2 linked regions of the Ovis aries genome follow. The protein of the gene in region 1 purifies or fractionates together with the protein of each later gene. This does not show direct contact. Links are inferred from orthologs where the notes say so. Each region holds a gene or a part of one and is shown on either strand. Other genes may lie near its edges.

The links. Proteins that work in one complex are often made in the same cells at the same time.
Region 2: the proteins of COP1 (region 1) and ETS2 purify together in Homo sapiens (affinity purification with western blotting; 3 studies listed by BioGRID and IntAct, with this or other methods). This does not show direct contact. The link is inferred for Ovis aries from reciprocal best matches to the Homo sapiens genes COP1 and ETS2.

Annotation. Positions count from the first base shown.
Region 1 is NC_056065.1:56,630,375-56,634,024, forward strand, and holds part of COP1 (E3 ubiquitin-protein ligase COP1), read right to left. Parts: intron 2,780-3,650; coding exon 2,671-2,779; intron 1,789-2,670; coding exon 1,707-1,788; intron 1-1,706. UniProt on the Homo sapiens protein: E3 ubiquitin-protein ligase that mediates ubiquitination and subsequent proteasomal degradation of target proteins.
Region 2 is NC_056054.1:271,801,963-271,805,464, reverse strand, and holds the end of ETS2 (protein C-ets-2), read right to left. Parts: intron 2,801-3,502; coding exon 2,585-2,800; 3' UTR 587-2,584; downstream 1-586. UniProt on the Homo sapiens protein: Transcription factor activating transcription. Binds specifically the DNA GGAA/T core motif (Ets-binding site or EBS) in gene promoters and stimulates transcription.

The sequences.
Region 1 (3,650 bases):
CAAGAGAATTGCAGAAAAACATCTACTTCTGCTTCATTGACTACGCTAAAGCCTTTGATTGTGTAGATCAGAACAAACCATGGAAAATTCTTAAAGAGATGGGACTACCAGACCGTCTCATCTGCCTTCTGAAAAACCTGTATGCAGGTCAAGAAGCAACAGTTAAAACCGGACATAGAACAAAGGACTGGTTCCAAACTGGGAAAGGAGTACGTCAAGGCTGTAGACTGTCACTCTACTTATTTAACTTACATGCAGAATACATCATGTGAAATGCTGGGTTTGATGAAGCACAAGCTGGAATCAAGATTGCGGGGAGAAATACCAATAACCTCAGATATGCAGATGACACCATCCTTATGGCAGAAAGCGAAGAGGAACTAAAGAAGGTGAAACAAGAGAGTGAAAAAGCTGACTTAAAACTCAACACTCCCAAAACAAAGATCATGGCATCCAGTCACAGATGGGTAAACAATGCAAACAGTGACAGATTTTTATTTTCTCAGACCCCCAAATCACTGCAGATGGTGACTGCAGCCATGAAATTAAAAGACCCTTGCTCCCTAAAAGAAAAGCTATGACAAACATAGAAAGCATATTAAAAAGCAGAGAGATTACTTTGCCAACAAAGGTCTGTCTAGTAAAAGCTATGGTTTTTCCAGTAGTCATGTATGGATGTGAGAGTTGGACCATAAAGAAAGCAGAGCTGAAGAATTGATGCTTTTGAAATGTGGTGTTGGAGAAGACTCCTGGGAGTCTCTTGGGCTGCAAGATCAAACTAGTCAATCTTAAAGGAAATCAGTCCTGAATATTCAATGGAAGGACTCATGCTGAAGCTGAAGCTCCAGTACTTGGGCCACATGATGTGAAGAGCCGACTCATTAGATAAGACCCTGATTACTGGGCAAGATTGAAGGCAGGAGGAGAAGGGGACAACTGAGAATGAGATGGTTGGATGGCATCACCAACCCAATGGACATGAGTTTGGGCAAGCTCCAGGAGATGGTGAAGCATAGGGAAGCCTCGTGTGCTGCAGGCCAAGGGGTCGCAAAGGGTCGGACACAACTGAGAGACTGAACAACAACAACAATCATTGTGAAATAAAGTTTCCAACGCTAGAGCTACCCCTGCCTATCTATTCACTAGTCTGCAAGTTACAGATGGAAAGGAAGGAGAGGGCCAAGATAAAAGAAATCTGTTAACAGGGCTTTATAAATCTAATCTTGAGAAAAAACAGGCCAAAAGAAGACAGTAACGGGAAAGAACAAACAGTAAAGACAGATACACACACCACACACACACACATACACAAAAATAGAAAGATCAATGAAATTGGCAGAAAGAAATATAGAATTTCTGCCTTGAAACATGATTTACTTCATTCAAAGATTTTGGTATACACTCAGAATTTAATACAATTCAGAATACAGTGATGTCTAAATATTTCAACAAAAAAGTTCATTTCACAGTATATGTACAGGAACTGGTTATAAATACATCACAGGCATGAATTCAGAAAAAATTATTATAATGAAGATGCAGAATATTCATTTTTCTTTCACTCCAAGAAATAAAGATTTTTGTGCTTATTAGACTATTTTTAGAATAATCAGTAATCGCAAAGGATCACTATGGGTTTCAATAAATATGTGTATTTCTGTTAGGTTTTAAAAGGAATTAATTCGGGGGGGAGACCCAAATAGTACCTTTTGCATCATCAGAACCTGAAGCCAAGAGTTTAGGATCCATCAAATTAAAGTCAACACTCCAACATCTCTTCTCATGTTCCTAGATGTAGAAGGAAGACAAAGTAGTCTCAGAATATAGATCTTAAATAAAGCAAAACAAATAAACATAGCTGATACCAATTTATCACTATGGTGGGAGGGAGAAAGAACTGGCTATGAAAATAAAGGAGATGCAAAGTAGCTCCATAAACTTTTTAAATATACATTTATAAAATTACCACTTTTGGAAATTCATCCTACAAATGCAAAGAGCATTACTGGAATTACATAGGTAGACGGTTGGATGGCATCCCTGACTCGATGGACATGAGTTTGAGCAAGCTCTGGGAGTTGGTGATGGACAGGGAAGCCTGGGGTGCTGCAGTCCATGGGGTCGCAAAGTGTCAGATATAAATGAGCGGCTGACCTGAGGAACTGCTGCTGCTGCTGCTGCTAAGTTACTTCAGTTGTGTCAGACTCTGTGCGACCCCACTGACGGCAGCCCACCAGGCTCCCCCGTCCCTGGGATTCCCCAGGCAAGAATACTGTAGTGGGTTGCCATTTGAACTGAGGAACTGAGGAAATGCTAAACAATGATTTTAAATTTGTAATTATAAAATGCATGAAGCTCTATAATTATTAAAAAGTACAAATGTGATTCTTGCAACAAGCTCCAATATTTTGGCTACCTGATGCAAAGAGCTGACTCACTGGAAAAGACTCTGATGCTGGGAAAGATTGAGGGCAAAAGGCAAACGGGATGACAGAAGATAAGATTGTCAGATGGCATCATCGACTCAATGGACATGAGTTTGAACAAACTCTGGAGATAGTGATGGACAGGGAATCTGGTGTGCTGCAGTCCATGGGATCGCAAAGAGTTGGACACGACTGAGCGACTGAATAGTAACAACAACCACAGGTAACTAGTATTCTTATTTACCTGATAGACCTTTGACCTCTGTCCTGTGAATCCATCCCATAGGATGACGGTGCCTTCATAATCACTGCTGGCTAATAGGTTCTTATGATAACTACTCCAACTGATACAGCTGAAAGAAAGGGATATTAAGTTAAGCCTTATTTTACATAAAAATAAATAGCAATGGATACAAAGAATTTGGACGTGTTCAAAAAGATTAGAACCCTTTCAAAATGGTCTACATAAGTTCACAATAATTATTTTGCCCACAATCCATCAAGGAAGAAGGCATCAAATAATTCCCAGAGTATTCAATTGAAACTACCAAGTCACAAACCATAACCACTCTTCACTCTCATCACCAGCTAGAAGACAGATATGGTGTGCCTAAAGTTGCTACTGGCCATCCTTGACACATGAAAATACATGTCTGTAGGTGGAGATAACAGAGGCCAGGGGGGCACACGTATGTCATGGCAGAGACACATGAGGAATACATGTCTGTAGGTAGAGATAACAGAGGCCAGGGGGGCACACATATGTCATGGTGGAGACACATGAGGAATACATGTCTGTAGGTGGAGATAATAGAGGCTGGGGGGGCACGCGTATGTCATGGCAGAGACACATGATGAATACATGTCTGTAGGTAGAGATACAGGGGCCGGGGGGACACACATATGTCATGGTGGAGACACATGAGGAATACATGTCTGTAGGTGGAGATAATAGAGGCTGGGGGGGCACGCGTATGTCACGGCAGAGACACATGAGGAATACATGTCTGTAGGTGGAGATACAGGGGCCAGGGGGACACACATATGTCATGGCAGAGACACATGAGGAATACATGTCTGTAGGTGGAGATACAGGGGCCGGGGGGACACACATATGTCATGGCAGAGACACATGAGGAATACATGTCTGTAGGTGGAGATAATAGAGGCTGGGGGGGCACGCGTATGTCATGGCAGAGACACATGAGGAATACATGTCTGTAG
Region 2 (3,502 bases), on another chromosome or scaffold:
TTTGCGCTCAGGCATCCTAGGATCACCACCCTCGTCTCGGTTACGTCAGCACTCCAGGGGAGTCGAGGCCTCAATTACAAGTCTTTGAGCTTCCAACCCTAAGGTTCTTCTTTCTTTAATTGGATCTTTAAAAACCTATTTAGGTTTTTGGTCATTCCACACAGTATGTGGGAAGTTAGTTCCCTGACTCGGGATCAAACCTGCACCCCACTGCATGGAAGCAGAGACTGAATCACTGGACCACCACGGATGTTGCTACCCTCGTGTTCTTAACAAAAATATCCTGAAGTCTGTTCTGTGATCTCTGCCAAAGCCCAGGTGAAGACAAGATACCCAAATCTTTCTAATCTCTCCTTGAAAAACCTTCTCTTTAAGGAACACTTTTTAGGAATTGCTTCAGGAAGGTTCACAGTTGGTTCCAGCTTTGTCCTGATTTGCTGGGGGAGAAGCGCGTAAAGTCAGTTCAAAGGGGCTGTGACCTGAAGTGACAGCCACCGAGGGGCTGGCCCAGCATTCTGGATCCACCGCCTCCACGCTGGGGGAGGTAGGCATAGGGTTGAAGCATGAAGACTCTTACAAGGAGGAATTGATGTAAACAAAATACTTTATTATTTGAGAAAGAAAAGGCCAGATTACAAAACTGTGATATATAAGTCCTGTTTATTATCATGCCAAAGGTTTACCATGGATTTGATTTTCCATGACTCTTGGGTCGAGCCATGTAAAATTGCCAACTCTGTAGATAAAAACAGACAAATACTGGCAAATTCATGCGGTCAAAGCCCAAATAAAATGAGCGAGCGGATGGCTGATTTCTTTCAGCAGCTAGATGTTCCCAGCCGCATGTCTGTTGATGTTATAAACAGCTGTCCAGCAGATAAACAGGTCTTGCTTGAGAAGAACATCCTGTGCTTAGCCATAGTGCAAACAGTCTTGTCTGGTACTAGACTCAGTGGTCCCCCTTCCGGCTCTCCTCTGCTCACCCTACCACCCAATTCCCCCATCTCATCACATGGAGGATTTGTCTTCAGAGACGTCACCACTGGTCCCCCTACGACGCTAGTGAAGTCTGACTTGGAAACCAACTCGATCCGTTTACAAAAGCCAGGAACACAGGCTGAACCAGGGGTTCCTTCGAAAGGACTGTGAAATTCTCCATCACGATGAAGACGTTTTCTTCACATGAACGACCCCAATGCCTTCTCTTTCCCATCTTGCTGACCCTCTATTTGCCTCTGGGCATCATTCTGTGTGCAAGAAAATAAAAACTGTGGACACTCAACAGAAAGGAGCAGCTTGGTGTCCGGAAAGCCTGAGACTCCACAGGTAAGCAAGACGGGACAAAATCAGGCTCCACTCATGCTCGAGAGGTTTATTAATTAAACCTCCCCTGCCCCTGCACCTTCAGCTCTGTACGGTTGGTTCACTTTCCACAGTGCTGCAGTAAAAGTAAAACTTTCTTACAAATTACATTTTTTTTTCCAGTGAATTACTTTTGCAGTAAAAATAGCTGCTACATAAATCCCTCCTGATCTCTGAAAAGGAGTCGCATAGTTCCAAAAATAGTATTCCTATTTTAATCATACAGCATAATTTGGGGTGTGGGGATGGGGCTGGGGAAGGAAATGCCTGGTCAGGGGAGGTGAGTGGCTGGGGAAAACACAGTTGAACTAAAAAATAAAGTAAATTTTGTATATAAACTTATTTCAAGGCATGCATAGAAATGGAAAACATATGCCATCTGTCAAGAAAAATACTGCTTTATAGCTTTTACATTACAATTAAAGGAGAAGCAGAGAGGCCAGGAGAGGCCCCCAGATAATAACATTAAGTTTCTTATAAAAATTCCCTAATGTACAAAGTCCTTGCCATAGATAATAACCCAGGCAAAACGAAACAAAACAGGAAGGAACCTTCTTAGACCTTATTCCTGTAGGCACATTAAATGTAAATAATATACACTTTACAATTTCTCTTAATCTGCGCCGGCAGATTAAATGTTTGCAAAAGGACGCCAGTGCTCTTGAAAACCAGCGAACATTGCAAAATACCATCTGCATTCCTATTTTCACATAGTTATATAATTATTTTAAATTACAATATACAATTTCTGTTAAATAGGTCTGTTAGGGGACTCTAATAACAATTACAAGGTTACAGTCATATATACAAACTAACTTCAGAAACAGCATGTGTCTTTGCCCCCTCCTCCCCCTCAGAACCAAAGAGAGCTCTTGTGGGATTCCTGGCTGCAAAAAGGCAAAAGAAAAATCCAAGAAGTGTGCGTCCGTGACACGCTCGCTCCTTTGAGAAGACCCAACTGCCTGAACGATCCTGTCACCACACAGCCCGCCCAGGGCTAGGCAGGGGGCCCCAAGCTTCTTCCTGGGCCGATCGAATGGAATAGCATCGTTAAGCGGCGGTTCCCGGCAGCAGGCTTTCAGAAGCGAGAAACCGAGCTGCTTCCGGCGGTGTCGGATGGAGTAAGGCCACTGCTTCCGAGAGGCGTGCTGGATGCGCCGGTCCGGCCTTTCAGGGTCCTGGGACGGGTCGCTTTGACAGCCCGCTCCCGGCCCGGGCGGGCTCAGTCCTCCGTGTCCGGCTGGACGCCCAGGATGGCATGCAGTTCCTCGGGCGTGAAGCCCAGCAAGTTCTGCAGGTCGCACACGAAGCGGTACACGTAGCGCTTGCCTGACGTCTTGTGGATGATATTCTTGTCGTAGTAATAGCGCAAACCGCGGCTGAGCTTCTCGTAGTTCATCTTGGGCTTGTTTTTCCTCTTTCCCCACCGGCGCGCCACCTGTGGCAGGGACGGGAAAGAGTGTCATTTAATTCCGCGATTGAAAAAAGCACCCGTGTCTCCCTCGTCCTGGCAAAAACCCTCACAATACTGTAAAGAAAACTATCCTCCCATCAAAATAAATTAATTTTTTAAAAAGAAAGAAAGAAAGAGCACCGCTTTTGCCCTGACGACAATTGGGATGCATAGCTTATTGGACCACCACAAAGGGGCTGAGAGACGCCGTCTGCTTTCCTGCTCTGAATCCCTGGCTATTTATCTGGGGATGGAGGGACAGGCAGATGAGGGAGACGGGTCCCCTGACCCACAGGTTCATCTGCTGAGGCTTCTCCCTCAGTAACACCTTCGGAAGCCAAGGGTTCAGAATCACGGGGTCGGTCCTGAGACAAAGGAAACGCTATGTGCCCCCACCTCCTGGGTTCGCACTCCAAGACCCCCACATCCGCAGCTGCTGCAGTGGGCCCGAGGTCATGTGGACGTTTGCATTCCTCAGTGCCTCTGCCGCCCTGGGTTATTGGGGAGGTGATGCGCCACACCCCACAGGTGCCAGAGACCAGGGGCGCCCCTTGTGCTGTCCCTGAAGGGCTGGTATGGGACCCATCCTCAGCTTTCTCATCCAGACAGGCTGGCATAGCTCCATCCACCTCAACTGAGGAGTGGGGCTCAGTATCAGCTTCCCCTCCCTCCCCCAACAAGGGAAAA